2 linked regions of the Arabidopsis thaliana genome follow. The protein of the gene in region 2 interacts with the protein of the main gene of each other region in a pairwise test. Each region holds a gene or a part of one and is shown on either strand. Other genes may lie near its edges. The genes, in order: NDPK1 and CAT3.

Region 1 (15,870 bases), on a different chromosome or scaffold from region 2:
CTTTTGAGGATTTAAGATAATTTTGAAGATTTCTTTAGTTGAAAACACATAAATCTAAATAACATGATTTAAGTGGAATTTGGGAAGATTTTCAAACAAATCATAATAACTACTCTAAATTCACTTAAGATCATACTTGATACATATATTAATTAAAAAAAAAACTATAGACTAACTTTTTTGTTGTGAAAGTGTGTTATTTATATCTTTAACATAAGAGAATGCATCATTGGTGGTGTGAGATAAAACCATTGTGTCTTTCTAACCCACATCTAACAAATATTTTATCTAATTGGGATAATAAAAAGTGAAGGCTTAATAACACCTAAAAATGCAGCGAATATTCTAGCTTCCATGCGTCATAAGCAAGCCAAAAAATTGGAGACTATATATAAGTTCTTCTGTATAATTAGAGTTACAAATTTGTGGAGACTATATATAACTTCTTTTGCCTCCCATGCGTCATAAGCAAGCAGAAAAAAAATGGAGCAAACTTTCATAACGTGGAAAACTTGTCTTTCTTTTTTTAATACATATTTAAAGGTTTAAAAGAGTTAGGCAAGATGTGTTAGCGACAATGTTTTCGAATGTAATGAGAAATAATCTTTAAGAACAAGTGGTTATGTACAAATTTATGTGAATAGATGATAAAGTAGATACAACAAAAATGATTGAGTAGCAAGAGATGGAGAAAGAGAACTTTGCTCTATTAAAAAATGTGTTTGAGATCATTTTATCAATTTTTGAAGTAATTGGCTACATCGAATAATTTATGTACTTATATATAGTTTCTATATCAATTCATATACTTGATACATATATTATAAAAACTAAAATCCTTAAAACTACAATTTTTGTTTAGAAAATGTGTTGTGTATATCTTCAACATGAGAGAATGCATCAGAGTGGTGTGATCAAACTCTTCTAACCCAAATCTAACAAATATTTTAGGGTTTTGTGCCAACAACCCTCAAAAAATTTTTTTTTGCAACATAACCTTTCATATTAAATACATGTAGGTCAATACTCTGATATCAAAAGTCACCCGCAATATAACCACGTGCATAGATTTTATATAATCCTTGGGCGTGTATAGATTTTGCAAACAGTATAAGTATGTATATAAGTGATTAAACTACGTCGTTTGAGCATTTTTCGGAAAATAATATATTACTAAAGTGGATTGGAACCAATAAGGCCCCGATCCAGATTTGAAACCAGAAATTGGAATTTTCAAACTTAGGGTTTGATTTTGGGGATTTATAAGTGGGAATCTTTCGTTTATGTCACAACGTCGTCATATCTGGTCAATAACGGAGACTCTTTCACAACCAACGTCGTATCTGGTCAATAACGGAGACCCTTTATCTATGTATTTTGAGATAACTCAGTCGTGAAGGAGTCATAACTAAGCTGTGTGACTATTATAACTCGGCCAAACCCTGAAAGTGCTTTCCTTAAGCCATCAGTTGGTACAATCAAGTAATTAACATATCATAATCACATTCCAACTAGTGGAATCATGAAACTATCTCATATTCTATATACTTTATCCAACATCATACCCAACAACATCATTCCTAGAAGTTTGGTCAACATAGTTTGTCAATCGACACTTACCGAAAACTCAATTTATTTTTTGTTTTCATATAATAGATCTTGAAACTAATAGAACCAACAATTGGGTGGCTAGTTTGAAATCTCATAATAACATCTGGTTTCTTATAACTCGGTCAAACCACAAAATCTTCTGGCATAACTCAGCCGTAACGTATTGGTATTGTGAGGCCCAAGCCCAAGAGGGTCCCAACCAACCCAAGTAACACACAAAACCCTAAGCGTGTGTATGTACATATGTATATATCTCCCTCTTCACGCAGCTTCTTCTCACATCGTCTTCATCACCATCACTTCTTTATCTCTCATCTCAATCCCAGCCATCATCATCATCGTCGTGACACCGGAATTGAAGTCACGTTGGGGTCATGATTGTTTAACGTGGTTGGTTTCGTCGCCGTTCATCACCGGATTGTTAGGTAAGGAAAACCTATCATGGCTATGAACTATACTACTGAAATTATTCCATTTAGCAATTGGATTTGTGGATTATAACTTCAACTATTGAATTTTTGTGTGAACATGTGAAATAATGAAACAGTTCAAGTGGTAGGCATAGGATATGAAACACTTCAATAATTTCCCATTTCCTCTACCATAGCTGCAATTATTGTTTTAGGCATAGGATATGAAACTTTGTGTGTGAGAAGAGCATACCGTTGATTTGGTTTGATAATTCCTTTCTTTAATCTCGTGGTCATAGTATGAGTGGATTCTGTAGCTGAATGAAGAATGCTGGAGGTTGGTTGTTCATGCCTAGAGGATGATGAGAGAGCGTTGTTGCCAATAGGATCAAGATCGGAGCTTTCCGTACACTCAGAACACTCCTCATTTCCCGTAGACAGAGTTTCAATTTCTTCAGTATTATTTTGAGAAGGAATGATTCGCAATGGTGTAACACAGACCGGTTCACTTGGTATGTCTTGATTGTTGTTATGAGGTGTTGTCTCCCCCTCTGTAATTATAATAGTAGGACTGCACTCTAATGAAAGGTTCTGTTCTTGATTTTTTGTGATGACAGGGACATTTGTACCAGTATTAGAGCCATCGGTTTCTTCCTTTTCCAATGGAACTGAAGAGCTTGAGAAGCCTTTTAACCAAGCATCAAACATCGGAGTTGGGGAAGAATGTTGCAGGCCAGTGTAAGTATCAATGAAAGGAAAAGAGCCTTCATCAAACACGACATGGCGACTTAGATACACTCGTCTAGTTGGAGGATAGAAGCAGCGGTAACCCTTATACTTATTCGTGTAACCGAGAAAGATACACTTGAGAGACCTCAGATCAAATTTATTGCGAGCATAAGCACGAAATGTAAGGAAGCAGGCACATCCAAACGTTCTCAAAGCTGAATAATCTGGTGCTTTGCCAAACAAAACTTGATAAGGTGTGGCAGAGCTGTCAAGAGCTGTTGTGGGAAGGAGATTACTCAGGAAATTGGCAGTAAAGAACGCTTCAACCCTAAATCTCTATGGTGCTTTGCTTTGAAACATTAGTGTAAGACCCCTTTCTGTAAGTTGACAATGCTTTCTTTCTGCCAAACCATTTTGTTGTGGTGTGTGAGGACATGAGATGTAATGTTGTATACCATATTCTTGAAGATGTTTTAAGAACCGATTACTTGTAAATTCTCCTCCTCCATCACTCTGAAAAGTTCCAATTTTTGTTTGCAAAAGATTTTCAACAAGACTCTGAAACTTGATGAAGATTGAACAAAAATCTGATTTTTGCTTCAATGGATAGAACCAACAGAATCTTGAGAAATTGTCAATGAAGATTACATAATACTGAAATCCTTGAATAGATGAAAGAGGTGCTGGACCCCAGAGATCACAATGAACTCTCTCTAGAGGTCTTGAAGCAATAAAATCTGAAGAAGTAAATGGCAATCTCGAACTCTTCCCAAGCCGACATGATTCACACACCTTGCTGGTACTTTTATTGATTTGGATCGTCTTTTTGTTAGCTAAGAGCTGAAGTACTTGAGGATTCGGATGGCCTAATCGCATATGCCAGACTTCATCAGTTGCCTTGACTTGTCTGGTGGAATAGAACGTCTGAAACTTTGGGTTCTCCAACTTATAAAGTCCCTCATTTGTACTGCTTCCCATTGTCAGAACTTTGTGAGTTACCTTGTCCTTTACAAGAACACCATCAGCATCAAAGGTGAAGGAGCAATGATAGTCTTTAGTCAATTTTGACAATAACAACAAGGACTTAGCAATATCAGGGCATACCAATACATCTGTTAAAGGAAGATTACCTGATGCAGAGGGAAGGCTTGCTGAGCCAATGTGAGTGATAGGTAAGAAGTTGTCATCGCTAGCCATTACCGTGTCATTACCAAAATAAGGTTGCATCTGTTGAAGACGAGAGCTGTTGTTGGTGATATGAGTTGTGGCAGCAGAATCAGGAACCCAACCACTGTCATCTGTAACATCGGTGATGTGTAAAGCTGAGAAGGCAGTAGCGGCAGCTTCAGAGTGTTGGTAAGAGTTATCAAAGTTCTTGAGTCGGTAAACAACATCTTCATAGGTCGGACCATGAAACGCATCTAAGGAACCTTCAAGAGAAGTGATTAATGGTTCATACTCACGGGTAAGACCATGAACCATGGCGAAAACCTTCATCTTTTCGGCAATTGGACTTCCCACTGAGGCGAGTTGGTCACAGATGGTCTTGAGATAGCGTAGATACTCCTCCATGGTTTTGCCTTCTTTTGATAAATCGTGAAGACGACGTTGGAGCTCAAAAATCCGAGAGGAAGAGATTTGATTGAAGTGTTTTGCGAGATTCTGTCATACCTCATGAGATGTTTTTGAGCCCACGACAACACTGAGAATGTCTTCAGACAATGAACCAAGCAGCCACACCATAACTACTTGGTCGGAGCGAAACCAAGCTTGATATTCTGGATTTGGAACAGCTTCAGTGACGCCAGTGTCTTGGGGACCAGAGACAGTGCTGATTGGAGGAGCAAAGGCGCCATTGACAAAACCCAGAAGACCTTGTCCGGAGAGGAAGGATTCGAATTGGGATTTCCACAGAATGTAGTTACGGTCTGTGAGTTTCACCGTAAAACAGTTGGGGATGTTTAAAGATGGAAGAGTATAGAGATCCATGGATTGATCCATGGCTCTGATACCATGTAAGTTAAAATATGAAATCGAAAGTCTTTTGTTTATTGCTTCCAACTTAAGCCTTTGTGATTACAAGCTATGTCTATTTATACATCTAGATTGATTTAACCTAGTGTCTTCTTGATTTGCATAGCTGTCACTTGGCTGTTATGTGGCGTCGTTGTCTTCACATGATTCAAGAGCCTTATAGCGATTCCTCGTCGTTACTTCCGTACTGCGTGGAGATAAGGACCGCTCTGCAACTTTTCTGCTTTTGTCCTTTGTTGTTGCAGGTTGCCGTTGCACTATGTTGGGCTTGGCTCTTGGATTGGGCACTTGTTTCAGATTGGGCTTTAATGGTTTTGAGCCCAATTCCAAAACTGTGTCGTTTGGAGCTGTTCTGTTGATATTAGCTTCTCGCTAAACTAAATTGTTGACGTGGTAAGTTGGATGGACATGATTTTAGTTTAGACCAGGGATTAGTCCGGGTGTATATATTGACGATTGATATATATAAATTACTTCAGTCAATTTAAAATTCAGTTTAAACTTGTTGAGTATATATATAGAGATATTAATTTATTTAATAATTTAATTTTTCTAATATTTTCCTCTTTGAATTATTATTGTAACACCCGCCCCACCATATAGGCCAAGACGGCATGTTATTCATCTGATCTTGCCAAAAAGTTTTCTTTAAACTTTATACATGAACAAAATATTGCACATAACTCCTTACGCCTACTAACCTGAGGAAAAAGGGAAGAAAAAAAGGGTGAGTAAAGAATACTCAGTGAGGGGAATCAACTCTGCCCACTGAAACATAGAACACTTTCTAAAGCTATACAACCATCATTATAACATATAAACTTAGACACAAGCAAACAACCTAACATGATTTACTTCTAATAATACATTCATAATAACCATCTTATCAATAATAGCACATATATACATATCCTTAGGTCCAGTCATCCTCGTGACGACTAGAACCTCATGAGTGGAGGCTGGCCCTCGTGGCTCATACACTCCCATGCATCCCGGGCTCGTCAGCCTTTCTTGACCAGCATGTAACCCGTCGGCCCATCACTGTCCACATTACTAGGGAGACCACGGCCTATAGCTCGATTCTCCCCAGTCATACATACATTATACATACATCATACTCAACAATCATCAAATCATATCATCACATAATCTTATCCTATGCAATCAGATCTAAGCCTGCATATCAGGCGTCAAGATGCATAACAAAAGAAAATGATACTATGTTTCGCAAATACCATCCTCACCTTAGCCTAGTGAAGATGAAAACTCCTTTCTTTTCACTTAGACGATCTTTACTAAAACCACATGCTCATAAGCTCTAACTTAGTTCTCCTTCAACCAGGACTTGAATCCATGAGTCATGAAAGCTCCTGCAAAGCTTCAGCTCCAACCGAACTCGTTTCCCAACCAACAACACAAACTCATCACTATTTACTTCAAATAAAACTGTCCTGGAAACATACTCAGAAGTAAGGAACTAACCGTTAGAAACGTGATCCCACCGTTGAAGATGTAGATAGTAGTATCATGAATTACTCCACAAATTTACAGCATGATCGGATTTCATTACAAGCTCCAAACGTCGTCGTCAACAAGCCTTCTCGAACTGTCATTTAAGATTTCCTGGATTCACAGACTTTGCAGTTACTTATCATGAAAGAAACGTGCATAACTTCTTTAATATAATCCCGATTCCATCTCTGTCAGCGGCTATGAATTCTTCACATCGTCTTCTTTCTATAGACACCTTATTCGTTATTTGAGTCCCTCTGGTCTGTCGGGAAATCATCCTGCAAGAAACATTCTTGAAATTGTACTTCCTCTTTCCTCTTTTCTCTTCTTCTTCTTCTTTCTTTTCTTTCTTTCCTCCGACTGATCTCAACACCATCTACAAAATAGACTCATCACTGGTTTTTCATCACCATTGAATGATCTCGTCTCCATCGCCGCTTTATCTCCGACGCAACCAATCTCTTTGTTTTCCTCTAGTGGATCATGATGCTTGCTTTCTCTTTGATGTGGTGACTCTGGTGCAGCGAACACATATGGTGGTTTTGACCGTCTCCTCTATTCCTTTAAGGACCAAAACTACACTATGAAATCTCAGTTTACAAACATCGGCGACAACCTCTAACAACAACGACGTCTTGGCAACCTTGACTATCTAGCCTTTCTCTCTTTTATCTCTCTTTTTTCTCATGGAAAGCGGCTAGGGTTTATTTTTGTACGAGCTTGCTTCGCGATTCAACGGAGAAGAGGATACATACATATATACGTACATATGTGCTCAAAAATCTAAATGAAACCCTTATGTCGTTTAGTTTAAAGAAATAGGCCTTAATGGGCTAGAAGTCACATGATGCAAAATGGCCCAAACACAAGATTTGGGAGCTGGGTGTTACAATTATTTTTGTTAATTTCGGTTAAATTTGGTTAATTTTAGTTATTTTTGAAGAAAAACAAAAAAAACCACAACGAATATGATAATATTTCGGTTAGTTACGGTTTTCATTTATTTAAGTTTTAATTTTTACTCATTGCACATTGCACCTTAAATAAATGACTCATAAAATCTCTACCCATTGAACATGCTCTAAAATGAGTTATTGACCGTCATGTTATCGATACACAGAAGGGCTATGTTGCAGGAGATTTTTCAGATTGTGGTTTGACCTGTATGTATTTGACATGGAGGTTTGTCTTGCAAAAAAAAATTAAATTGAGTTTTTTTTTGCACAAAAGCCTTATATTTTAAAAAAGAGTTATCGAGTGTCATGTCATCGCTACATGGGAAGACTGTATTACGGGTGACTTTTGAGATTGTGAGATTGACTTACATAATTTGGACTTGGATGAAAACTTGCAAACGAAATTGACTTGAAGGGTTGTTTTGTAGAAAACCCTAATACCCTAATGTTAACTAAGATACCGATCTGTTATCGTATAAAAAATGTTTTTAGCATTTATTTATTAAGATTAGGTATGTAGAATCAAAATCAAGTTTATCATGATTAAACAAAGAGTTAATTTGTATTTGCTAATGGAATGTGTAAGATTTGAATTTTGATTTAAATAAAAATACTAAAATAAATATAGAAAAGTGAGCAAAATACTATTTATAATTCAAAAATTATCGATAAGATATATTGTGTAGAATTAAAATGCAGTTTATTGTTATGAAATAAATAGTTAAATTGTATAGAAAAATGGAATGTGTAAGATTAAAATTTGGTTTGAAAAAAATACTAAATTAAATGTTAAGAAAAAAATATATTACTATTTAAAATTCAAATATAATCGATATAATATTATATTTATTTCTTACACCCATTTTTAGGCGGACATTATCTAGTGTATTATAAAATATAAATCATTTACCATTACTAACAGTTAATATTTTATATCTACAATACAATTTTGCAAATTATGTATTTAAAATAATTCGTTCCATTCATGGGGTGGCTTTCTTAATTATTAATGTTTGGTTAAAAGAGAAAAACAACCAGTAATTAAAATATATAGAAATTAATATTGTTGTAAATTTGTTGATTTACTAGATGTATGTTATTCCATACACTAATTTTTGAAAGATAATATTTTAATAATTGTTATTAGTCGTATTGAACGTTTACAAAAGATGTAGAAGAAACCAACCTGTAGCTTGGGTTCAAAACCTAGTTCTATTAATACTAAGGTTTGCTAATCATGTTTAAAGTAAAAATAGATGAATTTTATCAATCCAATCTCTATGAATTTAATATTTTTTTATATAATTTTGTATGTTTCATTGTTTATTATTTCATATTATCATTCTTTTAATTGAAATATGTTATTCTTATCATCATCTGAAAATTGTTTTTATTCACTGGACTTTCCCATATATAACTGCTCCATTGTTTTACATTTTTAGAACCCTAGTTTGTTCTTTCCAGGTCATTTACTATGTGGTTTTTAGATGTGGACAATAATATAGAGGTTATGAAATTATCTGAATCCATACTTTTTGAATATGTGAAACTCGGATAAACATCAAAATATCCGTATCAGAATCAGTAAAATGTTAGTAGAAAATATTTGAAGGTATAAAGAGTTGGGCAAGATGTGTTAGCGGCAATGATTTTGAATGTGATGAGAAGTAATATCTAAGAACAAGTGGTTAGATACACAATTATGTGAATAGCTGATATAGTAGATACAACAAAAAAATGATTGATGAGAAGGAGATAGAGAAAGGGAACTTTGGTCCATTGACCAATGTGTTTGCGATCACTTTTTCAAATTTTGAAGTAATTGACTACATTGTACAATTTATGTGTAATCATGCATATAGTTTCTACATCGATTCATCATACAATCATGAGTTTTCATATATCTAGATCCTAATTACAATCAAATATATGTTTGTGAGAGGTTGTATGTGACTTTGAATAAAACACAACATCCTCCATTATATCTCTTTTGAGGATTTCAGATAATTTTGAGGATTTTTTTAGTTGAAAACACATATATCTAACTAACATGATTTAAGTGGAATTTGGGAAGATTTTCAAACAAATCATTACAACTACTCTAAATTCACTTAAGATCAACAAAATCATAAAAACTCAAATCATTTAAAACAAATGGTTGGATACACTTTGAAACTTGCAACTTATATTTCGATTGGTTGTTTTTTTATAGTCGATTGTTCTTAAAAAAAAACTATATACTTGATACATATATTAATAAATAAAAAAATTAAAACTATAGACTAAATGTTTTGCTGTGAAAGTGTGTTATTTATATCTTCAACATGAGAGAATGCATCATTGGTGGTGTGAGATAAAACCATTGTGTCTTTCTAACCCACATCTAACAAATATTTTATCGAATTGGGCCTTAAAATAATAATAAGTGAAGACTCAATAACACTAAAAATGCAGCGAATATTCTAGCTCTACAATGTTCTTCGGTATAATTAGAGTTAAAAATTTGTGGAGACTATATATAACTCATTTTGCCTCCCATGGGTCATAAGCAAGCAAAAAAAATGGAGCAAACTTTCATCATGTAGAAAACTTGTCTTTCTTTCTTTAATACATATTTGAAGGTCTAAAAGAGTTAGGCAAGATGTGTTAGCGACAGTGTTTTCGAATGTGATGAGAAATAATCTTTAAGAACAAGTGGTTATGTACAAATTTATGCGAATAGATGATAAAGTAGATACAACAAAATGATTGAGTAGCAAGAGATGGAGAAAGAGAACTTTGCTCTATTAAAAAATGTGTTTGAGATCATTTTATCAATTTTTGAAGTAATTGGCTACATCGAATAATTTATGTACTTATATATAGTTTCTATATCAATTCATATACTTGATATATATATTATAAAAAATAAAATCCTTAAAACTACAATTTTTGTTTAGAAAATGTGTTGTGTATATCTTCAACATGAGAGAATGCATCAAAGTGGTGTGATCAAACTCTTTTAATCCAAATCTAACAAATATATTAGGGTTTTGTGCCAACAACCCTCAAAAATATTTTTTTTTGCAACATAACCTTTCATATTAAATACATGTAGGTCAATACTCTGATATCAAAAGTCACCCACAGTATAACCACGTGCATAGATTTTATATAATCTTTGGGCGTGCTTAGATTTTGCAAACCGTATAAGTATGTATATAAGTTATTAAACTACGTCGTTTGAGCATCTTTTCGGAAAATAATACATTACTAGAGTGGATTGGAACCAATAACCTATAATACTAAATAATGCACTTAACCAATTGTGCTGCAAGATTTATTGTTGATATTGCATACCGATAAATATATATTGTGAACATTGCATTCTGGGTTTCTTCATCTTCTTAGGAAATTAGGTTTATTAGCAATCCGAAATCTCTATTCACGTGAACTAGTTTGTTTATCACCACTGATTTCATTATCTTTGGCCATCATCAACAATTTGTAGAGCAAGCAAGGGCTCATTCTCATCGCAATTAATCTATTCTTCATCGAGGAAAGCTCTGAGACGAGGCGTGGGTGGAAGAATTGAGCGTGTTCAGACTTGGGTTTGATCCGATCGTAACCGCTCGCGCTGTTTGTCAAGTTTTATGTTTACAATTCTGAAATAATGTTATTGTTGTATTCGATTCATGTTTAAACTATATATATTAATCGGTTTGTAAAGTTAACAAAATCACTCTGCTCAATTGGTTAAGTAATCTTTGAATAGTTCAATATGCCATGCGTTCAAATCTATTTTCCAACATTATTTTGCGTTTTTGTTTAAAGGCTCAAAACAACGTAGTTTTAATAACCTATATATAAACATACGGTTTGCAAAATCTATACACGTCTAAGAGATATACTATAGGTGACTTTTGAGATCGCAGACCTGCATTTATTTAACTTACATGATTGAGTTACAAAAAAAATTACTTAGAGAATTTTTTGGCACAAAATCCAATTTTTATAACTAATTGAACCTTAAAATAATAATAAGTAAAAGCCGTTTTTTTTGTTAAAAGAAGGCTCAAAACGACGTAATTTTAATAATCATGTACAGATTTATATGATTTGCAAAATCTATACACGTGCAAGAGTTATATTGCGAACGACTTTTAATATCACAGTATTAATCTACGTTTGTTTGACATAAATAATTAAGTTGCAAAAAAATATTATTTGTGTTTTTTTTATGAAGCCCAATATTTTATTTAATTGGGCCTAACATAATAATAAGGGAAGCCCAATAATTTGTAGCAAATATTCTAGGGTTAGAATATTCTTCAACAGAATTAGGGTTACATGTGCGGACTCTATATAAATCTTTTTTGCCTCCTACGAATCACAAGTAATAAGAAAACAATGGAGCAAACTTTTATTATGATCAAGCCTGACGGCGTCCAGAGAGGACTCGTAAGCTTCCCTTTTCTCTTAATACATACTTGTTGATCTTGATCTGATTTTGGTTTTGTATTCAGTTCTTTGGATTGTTTATACTTAAAAGATCGATATGTTTGTGTTTTTTTCTTTCAGATCGGTGAAGTCATCTGCAGGTTTGAGAAGAAGGGTTTCACTTTGAAAGGTAATGATTTCGATTACCAAACTTGATTTTACATTATAATTAGAGGTCTTAGATCTAATTAAAGTCACTTTGTTACTTGAATTGAGATTGTAATGACACTATAGTTGCTTATGGTTTGGTCTAGTTTCTGAACACTAATAGTTTAGTAAAACTTGTTTGACTTGACAAGTATTCTGTGTTGTCTAATAGATTTTAGATTATAGTATCTGTGCATAAGAACTTGTTATTATCTGGACCTTTTGTATTATGTAATTTGGTAGATAAGAGTGTTAGTCTTGTGTTTCTGATCAGTGTAGATTTGTATTTTATACAGGTCTGAAGTTGATCAGTGTAGAGAGATCTTTTGCTGAGAAGCACTACGAAGACTTATCTTCAAAGTCTTTCTTCAGTGGACTCGTTGACTACATTGTATCCGGCCCTGTTGTTGCTATGATCTGGGAAGGAAAGAATGTTGTCTTGACCGGAAGAAAGATCATTGGAGCTACCAACCCAGCAGCTTCTGAGCCTGGAACTATCCGTGGGGACTTTGCTATTGACATTGGCAGGAACGTGATCCATGGTAGTGACTCTGTCGAGAGTGCAAGAAAGGAGATTGCTTTGTGGTTCCCTGATGGACCTGTCAACTGGCAGAGCAGCGTTCACCCTTGGGTCTATGAAACTTGATGATCTGTTGCTTTTTCAGTAGTGTGTTTTCGACATTGCTTGTCTTTTGAACAAGACTTCTATATTTAAGTTGAGTTTGATTATCCTTCTCTACTTTGCTTGCTTGCTACATATGAATACAACAGCTACCAACTGGTGATATAAAATATATCAGTTATTGCAGATACTGAACCAAAATTGACTCTTACCAATGGTTAGATCAAACCTATTTAGTAAACACAAGATCATACTTCTTGTAACCTTGTGTTTCATGAACACATAATGTTGTCAATCTCTTAGATGCTCTCGAAAACTGCGACGTTCGACAAAGTGGCAAGCTTAAGTTGTCTAGTAAGCCATTGTCCAAGTTTGAGGCTGACACCAACTTGAAGGGGGCATACTAGGAGAGAGTGATAAGAAAAGTTTTGAGTATTTGTCTACTGAATTTCAAGCTTACTGATGAACATTGGCAAGCTAAATTTAAATAACTAAATTTTACAATTTTGGTTCTTCAAACTTTAGAGAAGAAAAGAATCCAACGGTCAGGTTCAACTCCAACCCGTCTGTTTCAATCATCTATTTTGACCGCTTATTGTAGCTGCCTGTAACAGTTCAAACCCAGCCACTGTCAACAATCAAAGCCAAGTTTGTTTCCAAAGATGGACACAGCTAAGTAGTCTTTTTTGTCCTCTTCCAATTGTTGGTTCTAAGAAGTCGGTTAAGCGAGAACGCTTCTCCTTGACCATCGTTAAGCGACCGCAGTTCCAGACAGCAAGCTGTTAGTTGTCGGAGAAGTGTCTCTAGATGAGAATGCGATTGATTTTTGCCCTTTGGTTTTGTAGATAAAATCGCAGCATTCACTGTGTCTGCCACTACTTCCCTTTGAGTCTCTTCTAGGAAATACCCTACATTCGATTCTTCGGGGCGTTCGTACACTAGCAAAGCAAAGCAGTCCTGAAATAGATAACAAGATGCTCGAATCTCTTGTCTTTGAAACCACTAAATATTGAAAAAAATTCCAAAACACCACCACTAGTTTAAGGTTGCAGAACCATCATTACCTCTAAAATGTCTTGGAATGTAGTTAAACCAATGAATTTGGCTAATTCCATTCGTCCATATTTCACAGCCTCTTCTAGTGCTCCAATCTAAGTATGTCACATTTTAGTATTTATTTACTTAGAGAGAGGTCAGTCTAACCGCAGTGGATCTGATTAATATATAAGGAATGAAGAGCATACCCGTACTAATTCAATGAACTTTTGACAGTGAAGGAGGAAGCATACTTCTGATTTATCGTTCTGCAGATTATACAATTGAGGTAAGAGTTCATATTTTCAATGTAACAATATGAATCAACTGATATGATTAGTTCCTCAATCCACCTGTACAAGTTGGGGATAGCTATCTCGGAGTTTCGCAAGAGCAGCATCGATCTCACCCTTCCGTATAAGCTTTACCAACCGACGTATGGATCAGTTCAATACTTAACGAAAGAGATGTAGTAGTAGTAACGAGCAAGATAGCAGTCTAATTCAATACCTGTCTAAGAATTTTTCTCTCATGCAATGCATATGATGTATCATCAATACCATTTTCTTGAGCTCCATTGATAGGAGGAAGTGTACTGTTAGTAGCCAAGTCTAAAGCATGATGAGTCTCTTCATACCCATAATGAAGCAAATAGTTCTTTACAAGCCTGATGATCAAAAAAAACCAGAAGCTTCTTAGCTACGCAGAAATTTTATTACCAATGCAATAAAAGAATAGAAGAAAAAACTTCACCTCAGTAACTACAGAACAAGAGTGTACTCACCCAAGACTCATGTTCGATGGTATGGATATCTTTTCGATTGCTATTTGTTGCTTATTCCTCTCCGATGATTCATATCCCTAACACAACAGAAAAAAAGAGGAACAGCTAAATCATACGTAATCACTCCTGTAACCTTAACCTCAAACAAACCTAAGGCAGAAAGAGAAGCACAAGTAAACACATATTACTCTCTACCTCAACTTTCTACACATATTACACATACAATTCTTAATCGTAGAGTCTAAGAGAAGATGTTTAATCACTGTATTTTTTTACAGTGAATCATCTGCCACATTATATGTTTGTACCATATCAAAAAGATGCATATGTTTCTTTACTATACGATAGTTATACTTCGGACTATCCCATCGATAAATTACACAAGCTAAGAGCTAGAAACTCCACTAGTATACCAAAAATATTCAAGGATCTTACCTTAAAATCAAAGGCAAACTTCTCCTGCCCGAAGTTGACTGTAACCCTACCAAGATTCAGAACATCAAACAAAGAACATATTCAAGCACTTGAAAAATAGTTCACGCTGACATCATATTAAGAAACAAAGAGAGCATACTCTTCGTTTTGGCTATGTACAGCTACAGTAGGGAATAGAGGACCCTTGATGTACTTGGAGACTGTCCCTACCAGAGTTCCATTTACACTGGCATCTCATAACAAAGATATGTCAGAACTGTAACATGAAAATGAATTGACTCTTGAACTCTTAGATACTCACGTGAAAAAGAATTCCTGCGAATCATAGTTTATACCACCACCAACAGTATCACCAGTTGTATAAGTCGGACCAAAAGCTTCACCTTGACGTTTTCCTAGATATATAAGCCCATCTTCACCATGATAACCACAAGTGTTGAGTTCCCATCTAACCATTACATAAGAAATATCACAAAACTATCAATTTGAATGCTCAGCAACAATGATATAGAAACAAAATCCAACACTTTCGTATGTTCTGATCCTAACCAAACATAAATAAAACTCACACAATTGAACCAAATCCTGAACCTAATCAAACTTAAAACAACTAAACAAAAATAAGAGATCTTTAAGAACCTAATCAAATCTAAACAAAACTCAATATCATACCCAGGATGTCTCGCGATTCTGAAACTATTAGTAGTGAAACCAATGGAGACACGTCCTTTAACACCAGCATCTTTAACATAAATCTCGAAGTAATAAGCGAAACGTTTACACGGAGCAGGTTTATTAGCTTGAACAACGCCGACATCGTGACCGTGTTGAGAAACGCCAGTGTATTTGAGAGATAGCTTATCGGGAGAGATAACTACAAAACCGCTTAAACCGGTGATCGTGTTTAACTCCGTCGGTGATTCTTCTTCTTCTTCGTTATCTTCCATTGTATGTGGTTTTGCAGAGTGATGAAATTTGTGAATGAAGTTGGATTTGTTCATTCAAATCGCAGAGAAGATAATTGAAACCCTAGAATTTTGCTGATTGGTGATTGATTATAGAGAAACAAAATTGTTGAGCGAATATTTTTTATTTTTTTCAAATGATCTCTTACAA
Region 2 (18,369 bases):
ACCCATAACTGAATAAGTGAGCCTCTCGCTGTTGTGTAATCTTTAATGTGTTCAACTGCTTGAACCAACCTCTCAGTAACCGAAGAACCACCACCTCCTGGTCCAATCCACCATCGTTTGTTCCATTGAAACTCATCAAGACTAGATCTTTCTACACAATCCTGACCATACATCTGAGATACAACTCCTGATGTGCAAAGAGCTGATGTATCTTGAGTTGGAGACCACATGAAGGAAGTTGGATCAAAAGGGCTAACAGAAGAAGTTGAAGGAGCTATGTTAAGAAACTCAGATCCATCTGTAGTCTCTAACCAACAACCATCTAGTAACAATCCATCCATGAAGTCAGCGTCCATAACCACGTTCTCAGATTGAAGGAAACTATCTTCCATGGATATATCTCCAAAATCAATGAAGCAACATCTGCAAATGCGAAGCACCCATTTTCAAAAACAAACAAACAGAAGGTCGTGATAGGACTAATGTGTATAGAATTCACCAACCGATAAAGTAGGAAATTGAAGGGCCCAAATCAAAACTTAACACGAATCAAGCACAAATCTTGTCTAAATCTAATTCATGAAGACAAAATGAAACAATCCAAAGTAGACACACAAAAACAAAAACTTTTTGTTTGAATCCTTCAAGCTGGTCAAACAATATGGCTCAATGAAACACAAAAAAAAACGAACTTTGAACTAATCAGCTTCGTTTACAATGAAAAATCAAACCCTTAAAAGAGAAACTAGATGGAAAAACTCACAAGTCAGAGAGAGATTCTCAAAGATTCCTTCCTCAAGTGGGTTTTTAAATTTCCTCTGTTGCAATTTGTTGTCTGAGATAGAAGGAACAGATATGAAAAGAAACCCAAATCTCAAAACCAAAAGAAACAAGGAAAAGAAGAAAGCTTTAAAGATGTCTGATGGGGGTTATGTGGTACTACTTCTTCACGGAAGATGAAAACAAAAAAAGATGAAATTTTTAAAATGAAAATTTTGTGGATCGTTATCTCATTTATGCATCGGGACATGGCGAGACCTTACTATGAATTTTGTTTTCATATAGTATCACATTACTCTCTCTCTCTCTTCCAGGCTGCTTGGGTTTTTTTGACTGGAGGAGAGATAGAAGATTCCTCCACTTTCCAGAGAGAGAGAATACAGACACAGAGGGAATAAACAAATGACCAACAACATGTCTCCCTGCAGTGAATTTCTATTTATGTAAAAAAGTCAAAACCTTTTTTTTTTTGTTTTGTTATAGCAAATAGAATTTCACCAATAATCACATTTTGACTTTTTTACATAAATAGAAAATTCACAAGAATTTTAAACTATATGTAAATAAAAAGAATTTGGAATATCTCATTTGACAATTGTTAACCAGAATTTTAAACTATATGACTGAAATATTAAGATAAAAAAAGAAATAGTAAAAGCATTTTTTTTCTTTAATATTAAGATTTTTTTCTAAGCTGACTAAAGATTAAATACTTTGTTGTTTAATACAATCAGTGGTAGAATAAGATCCTAATTTAGTTTTTGAAAAAATCAAATATAATGGCTGTACGTATCTTTAAAATATACCAAATATCTGATTTCGCCAATTTGTTCAAAAGCTTATTGAATTTGGAGACTGATTCTTCAACATTTTATTATGCTGGTGATGACCAAAGCGAATCGTTTTCGATTTTTAGACGCTTTGTTGCTGTTTGAGGATAAGTTAATAATTATTCATGTCCTACAATTGTCAATTTTGTTACATGTTGTTATAATCTTTTTATAATTATGAAAAATTAAAGAATCTTTAAAGGCCACTATTATACTCTTTATAGCCTATAGGCTTATTTGGAGAAGTTATAGAGTAAATAAAAATAAACGAGTGGGGGAGTAGGTTCTTCCCTCAATTTGATCAGAAAAAATATATTAATCTACTCAAATTGACAATATAAAGTAGTTCAGTGAAACAAAAGTTTCTATTTAGTGGAGGGTATTGTGTAACCAATACCATCTTCTGCTCGTGAATAGATTCCACCGCTAACGAATAAAAGAAATATTTATTTGGTTAGGCAAAACCATTGATTATTAATATACTTTCGTTTTAAAAGTTTTATGATAGTTCGAACCGAGTTCTCACAAAAATGAAGGATGTTTTCATTGTTTGAGCTAGAACAATTCATCAAAATATGTTTTCAACAATCAACATATACGTTTCTAATTAGTAACCACATAGTAAGAAATGAATGAATTTTGTGGATTTGTGGAACGGTTTAATCGATGTGGAAAATGTTTTTCTAAGAAAGGTTGTGGAAAGCGGTTCAATTATGCTTTATTATGTTTCCATGTTTTTTTTTGCTATAATCATTTGTATAGGTCAATAACTTTTGACTGTAAATCTAATCTGTTTTTATTTTATTTTATAAAATATTTACATTTTTAACAAAAAAAAAAGAAGCGGTTTAATTATTGGAGTCATTCCAAAAACATTCAAATGCTCAAAAAAAGAGAAAAGGACTTGTAAAAAAAAATCAAATTTAAGAAAAGATTTGGTTGTGATCAAGTCAAGTTATATAAGAGATTATTCATGGTCTGGTTATAATATGGTACAACAAACTGAGAAGGGAGAAAAGACAAACTGAATGATGCTTTAAAAAAGGGGTATGATAGTTTTCAGGAGGGGAGTTAGATTGGACGAACAAATGTGAAATCCACATTTACGAGTGAGTGAGAGGATGATTTTATAAAAATTTACATAATTCGTATTCGGTAGGGTTTCATGATTATTAGTTTGGATCACGTTAGTTGTAGGACAAAATAGCTTTTGGCGGATGGGATATATATAACATGAATAAGTACTCTAGTGTTCTAGTCTAGTATCTCATATGAAAATATTTTTTTTTGTACGTAACGGAAACGAAACGAAACGTAACATAACAGAGAACAGAACGTAAATTAAGTTTATTCATACAAATTTAATTATACGTAACAAGGAATATGTTTATACTCGCAAGTGTTTCAATCTACGTTCACAGGAAGCGCAAAGCTAAAAAGACGAAACAAGTGGTGCATGACTGCGTTTCCTCCACTTAGGTTTTGTCTAACGTATTCTCTAATTAGGTACACTCCACATAATATTTACTCATGACTTCACATTTTCAATCACATTCATTTATCCCTTTTTTTTGCCAGTAGTAAGTGTGTCACACTGTACATTGTTTTATTCCGGTCCTACTATAAAAGAAGTTGGATTTTGATCTTCAAAATGGATTTTTACTTTTTATTTATATAGGTCCAAACTTAAACATGGATTTTTATTTTTATTTTTATATAGGTCAAAACTTAAACATGGATTTTTATATAATTGTATAATTAGTGGACTACCGAAATGCTAGAGTTTTTTTTGTAAAGAGTTATTTATTTTATTTGAAATATTTATTTAATCAGTGAAAAATTACTTAACAAAATTTAACATTTTACCAAGGATAAAGCTAATGACCAACTTTTTCGTCTAATATTCAAATTAGAAAAATATTCAGAATTCATCATATATGACACGTAGTTAAGATCTAAATATCATCTTTTAGTTTTAAATATGGTCAACTTGGTTCTCTAATTGACTGAATTATATAGTGCTTTCTAAATAAAATAAAAAGATATTTATTTGAGAATGAATTGAAGATGATGATATATATTAGTCAGCATTAAAAAGTTTTCGTTAGGTCACTCATATGGGCTGTTGGGAGTTTTATATATTTTGATGAAACAAAATGCAACACTCCTCCCATACGTAATATTTTCCTTCATTGTGAAGAACTCTGGACAAAAAGACGATCACAAAATTAACTATCTTTCGTTTTTTTTGTTTCTCTGTGGAAGAGACCTCTTTATATAACTTCTAATCTTCGATCAGGTTTGTATGTACGAAGTGTCCGGTTAGAATTTAGATTTTAGATTTTTGACTCTAACTAAATTTAGTGGCTTATTTGAATAAAATCGAAGTTAGGGTGATTTTGGATGGCTTAGATAAACGCTTAGACATCTGAAATTTAAAACATAAGATCTTATGTTCAAGTTTAGCAACCCCATGTTGAAATGTGTATAAATCACATCAATATTTAACATATGGTATAAAGGCGTTGAACTAATTACTGATCCCGTCATGTATAGTGGAGTGTGATTTGTTTGTTGAACTTCATAGGATAATAGAAAAACAAACAATATATACAAAATTAACTGTGGATTACAAATAATTGTGTTCATATATCTTATCCACTTATATAAACTAGATACCATGATACTTGAGCTTAAATAATTGATCACATCCGCCGAACACAAATCATGGTCACATCCACATGAATTCTTTCATTACTTTTGTTTGAGATTTAAGTCCCAACGGGTAAATTGGAATCTTGCACTACTTTAATTGTATATAGTTTATTGCCTAAACAGCCAATAATCAGTTTCACAAACAAATAAAATATAACTAAAAACACTCCAATAATCAGAAAGAAACCAATAGAACTGCAAGGAAAACAAACTTTTTTGAGTAACCAATGAATTTTTAAACTTTGCAAATACAAAAGAAGATTCTGATTACACAATTTTAAATTATGATCCGGGCAAATAGAATCTCTTTTCATAGGGCTTTGAAACGTATAAAAAATGATTAATAGTTGGACATTGATAATAGAGATCCCTTAATATAATACACAAAAAATGAGTCCTTAATTGCAAAACAAAATTAGTATAAGGTTGGCCGAATCATTAACTTCCACGTCAAATAATTGTGATAATTTTTGCACGTCTTGGTTAGGTATAAAACCTATATACCTTATTTTTGGGGTACGGAGACGATATTATTTATGTTGAGTACATTTGTTGGTAGACCTAGACGTAGGTCCACGAAATTATACTCTTGCATTATACACCTCAAAACTTAGATATTTACATAATTACATTTTATCGTTTAGTATAGTGCTTAAGTTCCGTCACATGCAATCAAAGTAAAGTCTTCTTGATTTCGTCATCAAGATATTGACTTTTCCTAAATGGATCCGAGATCTTGTTAACGACAACCAAAACACGTTAAATTTGTTATTGTTTTTCGTTAAACTGCAAAGTTATGAATTTTAAATGTATAAAATCCTGGACCATTAGCAAACACAGTTCACTATACCATTTCATTGGATAAATAATCTCTTAAGATGCGTAACTTCGATCTAAAATCTTCGCACACTACCACTTAACAAGTTGTAAAAAAAAATATGAGACTGAAAAATACATGAGAAAAGGATATTATTGGTGATTAAGTTTGATGTGGCTCCATGTGTCTAATTTCTGATTTGCGCTGAGGTTCTCTTTAAGAAAAGAAACTACTGGCTGAGAGACATCAGATTAATCAGACTGTATTAGCTGATTAAAAGTTAAGCGCAACAAAGTATAAGCATAATTAAAATTGGTCTGCTCTCATTATTCTTTTTGCATTTCCACTAGCAGCGGAATAATCAAATACTCCACCCCCACTTACATGTAAATTATAAATTATGAATGCGATGTAGCATCATAACGATTGACCAATTAAAAGGTCTGACGTGATGAGTGATGACTATGCCAATTTATCAAAATATGGACAGACATAAAACTTTTTTATCAAGATCGTGCGTCTGACATTAGACCCCAATAAAATTCCAACTATAAGCTCACGTCATAGATGCAGAAGATTAAAATACAAATAAAAATCCATTTTTAAAGTAGAACCAAATGGATGATAGTGATACTTGTTTACTAAGCTATATTAGTCATAGCTTTTTATTTATTTGCCTTAGAAAATAATCGTTAATATTTTGAAAAGAAGATTACAAACAGGAACTAGTACCCTTCTTTAAGCGTTTCATTGTCAATAAACGAGATTACTTAGAAACCAAACCGTAAGAGGAGCATATTGAGTTTATAGGATTTCACTTAGTCTTTAGAGATGATATCATTCAGAAGTTTGGCCTCACGTTAAGACGAGTTGCTAGTTTCTGTCCCAGAGATTTGTCTGCCTGAGACCAGTAAGAGATCCAAATGCTGCGGATTTCGTGCGTGACACGAGGCTCCGAAAGCGCTTCAACAAAACGCTTCACGAATCGTTCTTGCCTATTGGTACAAAACAAAAGACCATTAGAATGAATTATGACATTTGTGGTTCATGTGTAATTGTTGATTTTGCAATGTGGTTTTTGAGTTTTTAGTGTTTACCTGTCTGAATCCCAGGACCGGTATCTCTCCCCTGGTTGCTTGAAGTTGTTCTCCTTCCCGATGAAGCACTGTGATATAAAGATGACATTTGAGTTTTAACTATGACTTATGAGGATAAAACTTGTGATCAAAAATTAATGTATGTAGAGGACTCTGACCTTCTCACGATTTCCAGAGCAGACAATAGGAGTTGTAGGGTATTTTTCGGCATGGCGAACTGGATCCAACCTTGAAGGGAAGTAATTGACCTGGAATTGGAAAGCAACAAATTCACTTCATATAAATGTGATTGCGAATTTAAGTATCTGGGAGTTTCTAGAGCCGAGAGATAAGATTACCTCCTCATCCCTGTGCATGAAGTTCATAAAACCATCATGGTGATTGTTGTGGTGAGCACATTTAGGGGCATTAACAGGTAGTTGCAGATAGTTTGGTCCAAGACGGTGTCTCTGACTATCAGCGTAGGAGAAGATCCGGGTCTGGAGTAGCTTATCATCTGAATAGTGGATGCCTGGAACCACAAGAGCAGGACAGAATGCAATCTGTTCGTTCTCATTAAAGAAGTTGTCGATGTTTTTGTTCAAGACCAAGCGACCAACAGGTTGTAAAGGCAAGATATCTTCAGGCCAGATCTTTGTGACATCAAGCGGATCGAAGTCAAATTTGTCTTCATGGGCAGGATCCATCACCTGAACGAAGAGATTCCACTGCGGATAGTTCCCGGCTGCGATCGAGTCATAGAGATCTTTGGTGGCATGGCTGTGATTGGCTCCTCCAACTCTGATAGCTTCCTCATCCGACAGGCATTTGATCCCACAAGTCGGCTTCCAGTGGAATTTCACATAGTGAGCTTTTCCAGCTTTGTTGATTAGCATGTAAGTGTTGACCCCAGCGCCTTCCATGTGCCTGTAGTCCTGTGGGATACCGAGATCATCAAAGAGAAATGAAAACATGTGCAAACTCTCTGGGTGGTGGGAGAAGAAGTCCAGTATCCTCCAGTTCTCCTGAATGTGAGACTTGGGATTCGGTTTCAATGCATGGACCATGTCAGGGAATTTCATTCCATCACGGACGAAGAATACAGGGAAGTTGTTCCCAACAAGATCAAAGTTCCCCTGAGTTTGCAAACAGAGGGTAAGAGGAATCATCAGTATAGTATGATATGATTTGCAAGTAATCATATAGGTGGTGAAACGAAATAGATAAGCAAATAAACGTTTGAATATCAGCAAACACATCGATATCGGTTATAGAAAATAGAGAGACAATGGAAGGATAAGACAAAAAGCTAACCTCTCTGGTGTAAAACTTAACAGCAAAACCACGGGGATCTCTGAGAGTCTCGGGACTGCCACGCTCATGGATGACAGTTGAGAAACGAACGATAACAGGAGTCTGAACACCAGGTCCTCGAAGAAAATCAGCAGAAGTAAGTTGGGTAATGTCATGAGTGACTTCAAAGAAACCCTTAGCACTGGCTCCCCTGGCATGAACAACCCTCTCAGGAATCCGCTCCCTGTCAAAGTTAGCGAGTTTCTCAAGCAGATGATAGTCCTCCAGAAGGATTGGACCTGACAATATATAAAACCATCGCTTAACATATCTAAAAATCCAAGCAACTGAGACAGAATCAACATTGAGGAATTATATCAGATTTGGCATAAAACTGAAGGAAGAAATGTGATTTACGCAAGTCCACAACAAAAACACTAATGACATTATTATCCAAACGTTTATAAAATTATTTGGCTTCCACTACTCTAGCTTTAAGGGCATTTCTAACAACCACTGGTTCAACATATTTGTTATAATTTGTATTCAAGAGATAAGAAAGAGAAACGGACCTCGAGTTCCGACAGTCAAAGAAGAGTTGTTGTTCCAGACAGGAGCACCCGAGTTTGTAGTGAAGAAAGGGGAATCATGAGCGCTTGAAGGACGAACCTGCACACCAACAAATAAATTCAGAAGAACTGGATCACAAAAAAATTAACCAAATTTCCATAGATTGGAGAAACGTCTATGACAAATAATGATACATTGATACTTGATACATAACAATTCCACATAAGTATATATGATCAATTAAAAAAATACGATACAAGCAACAATGATATTCACAATTGAACACAGTGATTAAAATAACTTTAAAAAAATCGTAAAGAAACCTTAAAACATGTACAACGATATTGACAGATCACGTCAGCCTTAAGACTTGTGTATTAGAACATGAGCATGAGCATGAGCATGTTGACAAATAAACAATCAATAGACGGAAAAACATGTTGAATTTTCCAGTGGAATCTTCAACGCATGCAAATCGAAACCCAATCTCCACTATATAATAAAGAAATCGATTCACACAAAAAAACCTCAACAAGTCGAACAATCACCCCAATTTTGCATCATTTTAACCGAGAGAGAGAGATCATTCATACACTTTGGATTCAACACGAAATCACACCAAATCGATACGAAATCAAGTAAGGTAAAATCACAGATTACAAAAAAAGAGAATCAATCGATGTACCCTGTATGGATCCATGATGCTTGAAGACAATTTTGATCCGAATTTTTCTTCTTTTGCGATTTTTAGGTGAGACTGTGTGTATCTCGCAAATCGGCGTGTGTCTGCACTGTTGTCGATTTTTTTTTTATAGCGAGAGCCAAAATATCTTATTTTAGCTCAACACCAAAACACGTATGTGTTTTGTCTTTGTTAATCCTTATCCAAATGATAATCCTCGTATTAATAGTCAAACTAATTACGTGTGGATGATATCGTCTTTGATTTCGCCAGATACTATACCATAATTAGACAATTGTTGATCCATTTCAGGATTCTCCTTAAAATAATACATGTTCAATTACGGTATCTTCTCTTTTTTTTCCTGAATTAATAATATGTATAACGACCACCATAAATCTTAGAAATTGTTTACTGCTTCAAGAAACATTGATTTATTGTAAAAAGAGATTACAAAGACAGTGAGAGTAGAAAGGAAGGAAACATGAGTTTTTGGGATTACAAGCATTATTATTATATAGACAAGAAACAACAACACATGTGATTATCTTTTTGACGGATTTAACGACCAAGCGATGATAGATCGATGAGATTGATTGTACCTCACATAGACTGAGCTTATATGGAGATTGGCCTCTAGATGCTTGGCCTCACGTTCAGACGGCTTGCAAGTTTCTGTCCCAAGGATCGATCAGCCTGAGAGATACAGAGAGATAAATAATGTTTTAGTTTGCTGAAACTTGGTAAAAAGGACGTAGAAATTTGACCGAGTGTTTTTTTGTTCTGACCTGAGACCAGTAAGAGATCCAGATGCCGCGGATCTCGTGGGTGAGACGTGGCTCCGATAGAATCTCCACCCATCTCTTAACAAACCTGTCTTGCCTGTCTGGTGCCCATGATCTGTACCTGTCTCCAGCCTGTTTGAAGTTGTTCTCTTTCTTGATGACGCACTGCAACATTAGCAATTAAAAGGTTTTCTTAGCACCAATATTCTAATAAACTTGAGTTTAGGATTTGAAGATTTAGAGAAGGCATGGCAGGAATCGGACCTTTGTTCGAATTCCAGTGTAGGAGTTTGTAGGGGTGGGAACTTTCTCAGCGCAGCGGACAGGATCAAACTTTGAGGGGTAGTAATTGATCTGTAAAAAGTACAAACCAAATGAGAATTTTGATTCCAAGTAAAAAGACTAACAATGGTAGCTCAAGTGGTGTACTAAGACGTACCTCCTCATCTCTGTGCATGAAGTTCATAAAACCTTCATGGTGATTGTTGTGGTGAGCACATTTGGGAGCATTGACTGGAAGCTGCAAATAATTCGGTCCAAGGCGATGTCTCTGAGTGTCACCATAAGCAAAGATCCTACACTGGAGCAGCTTGTCGTCTGAGTAGTAGATTCCAGGAACCACAAGACCCGGGTTGAACGCAAGCTGCTCAGTTTCATTGAAGAAATTGTCAATGGTCCTGTTCAGAACCAAGCGACCAACCGGTTGCAGAGGCAAAATATCCTCAGGCCAGATCTTGGTCACATCAAGTGGGTCAAAGTCAAACTTATCCTCATCTGCAGGATCCATGGTCTGGATGAAAAGTTTCCACTCGGGGTAGTTGCCAGATGCAATGGCATCGTGGAGATCCTTAGTGGCGTGGCTGTGATTGGCTCCTCCAACAACCTTGGCCTCTTCATCAGTCAGATTCTTGATCCCACAAGTTGGTTTCCAGTGGAACTTCACAAAGAGAACTTTTCCAGATTTGGCAATAAGAGTGTAGGTGTGGACACCGAAACCCTCCATGTGCCTGTAATCTTGTGGAATACCAACATCATCAAACATCCAGCACCATGTGAGCAAACTCTCAGGCAAGTGGGACATGTAGTCCAGAATCCTCCAGTACTCTTGGATGTTTGTTTTCGGGTTAGGTTTCAACGCGTGGACAACATCCGGGAACTGAATCCCATCACGGATGAAGAACACCGGAGTGTTGTTCCCAACAAGATCAAAGTTTCCCTGATCATAACAGTAACAAGACAAAAATCAGTCCTGATTCTAAAGAAGCTAAAAGACGATTAAAAATGGAAACTTTGAATCTTTTCTTATACCTCTCTGGTGTAAAACTTGACAGCAAAACCACGAATATCCCTCATGGTTTCAGGACTGGCACGTTCGTGGACAACGGTGGAGAAACGGACAATAACCGGAGTTTGAACACCAGGGGCTCTGAGAAAATCAGCACAAGTGAGGTTTGAAATGTCATGGGTGACTTCAAAGAAACCCTTAGCACTGATTCCTCTAGCATGAACCACTCTCTCAGGGATCCTCTCTCTGGTGAAATTAGCAACCTTCTCGATCAAATGATAATCCTCAAGAAGAACCGGACCTGCCCATTACGAAGTAACACATGTTAAAAATAATCACATCACGCTTCACGAACAAGATCTCAGCTTAGACTCTATATCTCAGTTTTATCTCTTTCATAAATCCAACAAGTTCCGATTCTTATTGATAGACTCTTGAAATTCAGGGTTACGATACCTCTTTCTCCGATGGTGAGGGAAGAGATGTTGTTGGAGACTGGAGCACCACCGTTTGTGGTGTAGAATGGGGCGTTGTACGCGCTTGAAGGACGATACTGCAATCACCATTATACGATCGATTATCAACAAAATCCAGGAAGAAATTTGGTCAACAATCAAACGGAATCGACAAGAACAATCCACAAAATTTTACTACCAACTGATTGATTTGATAAAAAGCCCTAATTTTTTGTCGTAACCCGAAACATATCAAAACCCGTTTCCTGATCGGATCCGGGTGGTCCATCCCGACACGAGTAGTCTTCCGACCATTATTTGCCAAAAAGGCTTTAGATTTGATGACGCAAACAGTAACATGTCGGAGAGTAGGGTTGTAGATAAATTTCATTTTATCCACTAATATTTATTCGATTATTACACTTTTAAGTGACTTCCGTATATTCAAGCCTTTTGTTCGATGGATCTACATAATAATTTTTTATTTTTTTTTCGTCGGTGAGATAATTTTTTTGTATGTGAAAAAAAAATACACTTGTATTGATAGATCGACCGACAATGGTTTGATTAACCGAATGTTGTAAAAAAAGATTTATCATATGTATAGATCTAACTGATCGGTTATTTAATTTGATTAATCAAACGTGTAGATTTGATTACTCAGGTGTTTAGTAGATCTGATCAATCATTTTGTTGATGATTACTTAATCTGATTTGGCTGATATCACTAAAATAATATACGGTCGGACGTCTAAACAATCGATTATATCATTTGAACGTCCGATTTTTAGAACACATGTGTGTAATAATAATAAAAAAAAAAACAACAACAAAATAACTTCTAATCTAAGGAAAAAAACAACAAAAACCACATGTGGCGTGTCTTTCTCACGCAGTGGTTAAACGTTTTAATTAAAGATAGCCAGCCAAAACAGAAATCAACATCATCAACTTAGGTTCAAGCGATCACAGAATTTAAGTAAGTTTTTGAGCATAAAAAGTATTTTGACCCTTAAGATTTAAGAACATCAATCCAATTAAAAAATAGTTTAGAAAACGAGCATATATAGTTGAACCTAATTCTAATTAAGATACACATACACCACACAAAAACAAAGAAAAAGTAAGAAGAATATGATCGAAGATACCTTGTAAGGATCCATGGTGATGATAGAAGGTTGATGATCCCCCAAATAGGCTTTTGAGGATTTTGGTTTAGTGAGAGTGTTGAGATCCTATGTGAAAGTATATATAGTGAAACAGCGTGTGTTATGCACAATAATGGATTCCCGAAGTGGAAGGGTACATTTGTCCTTTCGAGATCAATTTCTCGATACAGTAAAAATGGGCCATTGTTGTTTACTTTTCCTTGGTGTTAAAACAATAATGTAGTGCCCCCACTTAGATATTTTTTTGCTAGGTTTTGGCTCCAACCCAAGAAAAATTCGTTCGGTGACTAATAATAATCGCTGACCCCGACAAGTCAGCATTGCTCGTTGTTGTGCTGTGCTTCTCAAGAGATAAAAAAAAGATACAATATCTTTTGAAAATCAATTATTGTGCTGATAACAAAAGAAAAATAAATCATAAAGTCTAAAAACAAAACTCTAATGGATGCTCCAAAAAAAGAAATGATCTAAAAAATAATTCTAGAAATGATTTTTCTCTTAAAACTTCCATTCACTTTCCAAGTTGTTTATTTCCGTATTTGGATCTTATTACTAATATGAGTTCATCTATAGTAAAGTCTGCTGATATACATGTTCGATCTTATCGCATAGAAACTCGTGTCAGACACGAGGTGGAACTGTAGATCTGAGGTTTCTTTGTTTTAAATTTTTGTCTTCAAAAGTATATAGTTTCGGAAAATTAATCAACATGTGTTACAACAAAGGTGTCTGTATTTGCAATTACAAAAATGCGTGAAACATGAAAATAACTAATACCGTCGAAAGGATATAAACAGTATTGGAGTAGTTGAACAAAAGTAATTAATACTACTATTCAAAATAAAATAAGTTAGTTAACTTAACTGGGTGATATTATTTTAGTCTTATCCGATTTGAGCTTGCGTACGGCTTTTAAATAAATCAATATGCAGAAAAGTATTTAATGAATTATTAATAGATGATCATGAATCTATAAATTATGGGTTGAAAATTTAAATACATTCTTTATAAAAATACAAAAAGAGAGAGCTGAATTGACATTATTGAGTGGGTATGGTGGGGAGTCGATGTTGTGGAGCATATGACGATAATTAACACGTTACTTCGATGATGAACTGATCCACAATTTTTGATTGAGGGTAACTTGGGGTCCCTTTAGTGTCAACAAGTTGCTCTTGTTACTTAGTTTGATATTATTATTTACAACTAGAGCTAGGTACAACAATCAACAGTAACATACTATTCTCAGAAAGTGGCAATCATTAGAAGACAATCTTCATCTATCTCCGTTTAACAGAATTCATTTCGCATTCTTTTATATATTTCTTTAAAGGACATATTGCGCAGTTGCCCCCCTCCATAAACATTGTAGTAGCTCTGTTACGAAAACAACAATCCAATAAGCTATAAGAGATAAAAGTGGAGTAGGGAGATACTCTCGTAGTTATAAATTTACTTGTTTATAATTTAGACATTTAGAGTTATTAGGACTTTTAATCCTCTCCAGTATGCCGCATATATATTAAGTGCAATGACTAAAATAACTCAAATGCAGTTTTTTGTGTGTGTGTTATTTTGTATCCACATGGACCACATCACGTGGAGCACATATGACATAACCAAATGTGGTGTTACTATCACTGGTAAAACGTGTTGTTTCAAAGTTATTGGCTCCATTTTTGATGATAGATAATTTCAAATCACAGAATATATCTTCGTGTTATCAAATGTTGAGTTAATTACAAATTAGAGGATATATATGCTATCCAATATTAATCCTAAACCTGAAGTAATAATGAACCCAAGCCTGATATCTAGATTCACCCCAAAAAAAGAAAAAGAAATTGTAGCTATGTAAAAAATATCATAGCCCCCGTTTTTTTTTGACACAAAATATCATAGTCCCCTTATCAGATAAAGTTGTTGAAATCGTCTTACCACGGTCAAGTCTCTTCGTTTAGTGACGACAAAAGTCAAAAAATGCCAGAAGCTTTGGGAAAGTAGTACGTAGCTTAGCTAAATTGTACTATGCATATAATTAAATTTGTAGAGTTGTGTGATAATATTCTCGCAACTCGCAAGTTTCGTCATGGTGCATATGACTGCATGCGGGATTGTCAATTGTTTTGTAGCGAAGAACTTAAGAGTTTTTTCAGCCGTAGAATTCGAATATACTTGGTATTTAACGACCAAAATTCTATATTTAACTGTGAACATAACGTATTGGGATTTTGATTAAGTACCTTAACTATAGAACCACCCGGAGATTATAAAAACAACCAGTTTAAGATAGAAAAATATGATAGTAAAATTGTTTAGTTGTCAGTCTTATGCATAATAAATAGATTGGTGTAGTGTTTTTTCGTTTTTTTTTTTTGTTGAATGTGTATGTTTCATTTTGTTACTATATGCGTGCGTGCATATACCATATGATCCGTAATTTATTTACTCAGTTACGTATACGGTATTTCTTATACGACTAGTATTAGCTGCTATTTCTTATAGGACTAGTATTAGCTGCTAAAAAAAAAAAACAGCATAGCTCCATGCGAGAAACTACTGCTTAATTAATACTGACATAGGATATCAACTACTTCACACCCAATATTTTCTTGAGGTGTCCAAACTAAATAAATAGAGGGTTACCAATACTATATCATACATATATACATAGTTTTTATATACAGTACATAATATAACACGTAACGCTCTAAGATTTTATCGTGGTAAAATTGTGAGTCAATTAAAACAACGTAAATTTTTATTTTTACATTTCAAAAGTAAAAAGTAAATATAGATAATGAACGTTGACGATAATGTTTAGGCAAATTACTTCACGGGCTATACTACTAAATTATCATATCATAAACGAGGGCAACTGAGAACCACTTACAGGCTGCCACGTAGAAATCTTACCCTTGCTTAGTAACTTTTTGGTGTTAACCCAACCAATGAAAATTCGTTTTGGTGGTTCAACACGACAAAAACGGGATTACACCTTATCCTTTCTTTCTTTCTTTTTGGATTTCGAATTTTGTCAATGGAGTTGAAAAATCAAAGAGAAGGACAAAGCTTTCTGGCAGTCGAATCTTTTGGTACCTCGTTTTCTTCTCAGATGGGGACCTAACTAGCTTTAAGTTCATTCAATCCTTTTTGGTTATTCATAATGATGTTAGTATATAATTTACCAAATTGTGAATCTCATGATACTAATTATGATTTAAATTAACAAATTTCGTAGTTATATTTTCAAGAAAATAAAATTTCACTTGTAGGATTACTCATTTTCATTAGATTTTAATGTACATTATACTGTGGGTTTAAGGTTTTGTGTTGTTTCTTTTCTTATAGATTTTCAAAATATCAAATAAATTACTAATCATCTAATAATGCAAATCCTTTTAAACATTGTTTGGTTATTATTAGAATGGTACCCTTATTAGAAATTTAAAACTATTGACCTTATACATAGTTTATCAATTTTTACAAGTCCAATACATTTTTGTGCCACAGGCCCACCAAGCCTAATATATCTATTATCTAAGATACTAATGGGCTCTAGTCTGGTGGGTAAGTTTTGGGCCAACCTGTAATGGAAAAAAAAACAGTTGTATTCATTAAACGGATATTAATTACAAGAGACTGAGAACTTATGCAACCTAAAAGATATACATGTCAATTTAAATGCCAATAACAAAAATCTGAAACAAGAACTTATAGAATGATCTCAAACTTAACCTAATGGCATATCATATTTATTTAATGTATCTATATCAATGGAAACAAAATGCTATTGTTGTGTTTCTACATAGAAACGCAATGTTCACACTTCTACACAAATGACTTGATTGATTTAAAAGTGATTGATAGTAAATGCAGTATATCAATGCCATTATCATGTAAACAACTCTATATATCTTTTTCCCATAAAAATATAGTACGATATTCTAATGATACACTTGAAGAAGGTCTAAACTTTGTGTGAGATTTCTTACTCGAAAAAGAAAATCATTTAACTTGAGATTAATATAAATGTATTTGATTTCTTAAACGAGTCTTGGTTTTTGGTCAAAGGTGATGTATTTGATTTTTTAAATAATAGTATTTTATTTGTTATTATAGAAATGTATATTATATAGTGTAATTTTCGAAAATAAAATAAAAATAGTTGTCTTTCCCAAAATAAAAAAGGGAAGGGTATTATCATTCTTACTCGGAAGAATCGAAAATTAAGTCCATTTTTTTCTACTGTTTATCTTACACTATTTTTGTGGCAAATACAATAATACCTCTATATTATATAACTATTCTTATTGCCATACCACTGTACCTGTGAAGATTACGACAATGATAGTTTTTGTTCAGATTCAGTTCAAATTGGTTAACAATCAAATTACCGAGTTAACTAATACTTTATCTAGAGGTAGTGACAATAATAATCTTATTGGATGAAATTCATATTTTGCACGTTATAGTAACTCGTTAATTTTTTTATATGATATAATAAATGAGTTAAGACGGTAAATATAAATATATCACATAAGTTATAACTTATTGCGATTCAAAATGACTTAGCATGACATAATTATAAATTTATTGATATAAATATTTTGTTATCATGTTAACCTAATAAATATTACCGAGATATTTGTTATTGAAAACAAAAAAAACCCAAAGAATTTGAATAAGTACACATACACATGGATGAAAAACAATGATAGCCGTTGAACATAAGGCAACTTTCGATTTGGAACACGTGGCATTAATCCAACAGCTGATATGAACTAGGCAACTAGCTGTTAATTTTAAAGATATTATACAGACAATATATCCGCTCTTCTAGTCTTCAAAATCTCTATTATTCTTTATTTTTTCTTTTTTTCTTTGCCCTTGTAGTATAATATTCTAATGATACACTTGAAGAAAATCTAAACTTTGTGTGAGATTTCTTGCTTGAAAAAGAAAATCATTTAACTTGAGATTAATATAAACGAATCTTGGTCTTTGGTCAAAGGAGACATATTTGATTCTTTTAAATAGAAGTGTTTTATTTGTTTTTATAGAAATGAATATTATTTCATGGTGTAATTTTCAAAAATAAAATAAAAATAGTTGTCTTCCCCAAAATAGAATAAAAGAAAAAAAAATCAAAGAATTTGAATAAATCTATACATAGATGATATACAATTATAACCGTTGAATAGAAGACAACTTTCGATCTGGAACACGTGGCGTTGATCCAACGGCTGAGATGAACTAGCCGTTAATTTTAAAGAAAACTAATACACTATAGACGCTCTTCTAATCTTCAAAATCAATCTTACTCTTTTTTTTTTCTTTTTTTCTTTACCCTTATAAAGAGAGATAGAGAGAGAGTGGGAAGTATCTTCAAAACCGAAGCCATTAGAGAGAAAGAGAGCGTGGTTGAATCTTTGGGTTTTACTAAAAGATCTCTCTTTCTCTCCTTTGTTTGATCAACTTGGATCCAACGGGATAAAAGACTATTAGGGTTTAGGAGATTCACTGGGTTTCATAAGAATTTATGATCAAGGGTCGACTTAATCTCGCGTTGGTTCTTTGAATTGACTGTGAAAAGGTGATTTTTTTGAAAAACCAATTCGTGGGTTTTCGTTATCTTCTGGGTATTTGAGATTTAGGTCTTTGTTGTTCTTGATTGGGTCTTTCATTGAGATTATTAAACCGGATCTATAGGGTTTTGATTGTCAAGACTGTTTTTTTAGTTTCAATTTTGAAAACCCCTGCTTTTAAGTTGGGGGATGTTTCGATTTTGAAATTTGATTTCTTCAAGAGAAGAGATTTAATGAAAATAAATAACTTCCGCAGATAACGAAGAAGAAGAAAATGGTTAGATCAGATGAAAATAGCCTTGGATTAATCGGATCAATGAGTCT

What was found.
Region 1: the proteins of CAT3 (region 2) and NDPK1 interact in a two-hybrid assay, tested with the Arabidopsis thaliana proteins (one study listed by BioGRID).

What each region holds. Positions count from the first base shown.
Region 1 is NC_003075.7:5,911,843-5,927,712, forward strand, and holds NDPK1 (nucleoside diphosphate kinase), read left to right. Parts: upstream 1-11,641; coding exon 11,642-11,692; intron 11,693-11,812; coding exon 11,813-11,861; intron 11,862-12,174; coding exon 12,175-12,524; downstream 12,525-15,870. Other genes in the region: AT4G09340 (SPla/RYanodine receptor (SPRY) domain-containing protein), read right to left, coding at 13,173-13,457, 13,565-13,651, 13,745-13,804, 13,889-13,957, 14,046-14,202, 14,320-14,396, 14,755-14,800, 14,894-14,980 and 2 more. UniProt on the Arabidopsis thaliana protein: Major role in the synthesis of nucleoside triphosphates other than ATP. The ATP gamma phosphate is transferred to the NDP beta phosphate via a ping-pong mechanism, using a phosphorylated active-site intermediate.
Region 2 is NC_003070.9:7,137,224-7,155,592, reverse strand, and holds CAT3 (catalase 3), read right to left. Parts: upstream 12,461-18,369; 5' UTR 12,452-12,460; coding exon of another isoform or gene 12,437-12,451; 5' UTR 11,680-12,436; coding exon 11,488-11,679; exon of another isoform or gene 11,387-11,487; coding exon 11,290-11,386; exon of another isoform or gene 11,135-11,289; coding exon 10,857-11,134; intron 10,765-10,856; coding exon 9,988-10,764; coding exon of another isoform or gene 9,903-9,987; coding exon 9,813-9,902; coding exon of another isoform or gene 9,786-9,812; exon of another isoform or gene 9,714-9,785; coding exon 9,552-9,713; intron 9,460-9,551; coding exon 9,400-9,459; 3' UTR 9,053-9,399; downstream 1-9,052. Other genes in the region: AT1G20640 (Plant regulator RWP-RK family protein), read right to left, coding at 1-392; CAT1 (catalase 1), read right to left, coding at 5,984-6,137, 6,240-6,307, 6,398-6,487, 6,578-7,354, 7,533-7,810, 8,084-8,180, 8,767-8,781; CYCB2;3 (Cyclin B2;3), read left to right, coding at 18,320-18,369. UniProt on the Arabidopsis thaliana protein: Occurs in almost all aerobically respiring organisms and serves to protect cells from the toxic effects of hydrogen peroxide.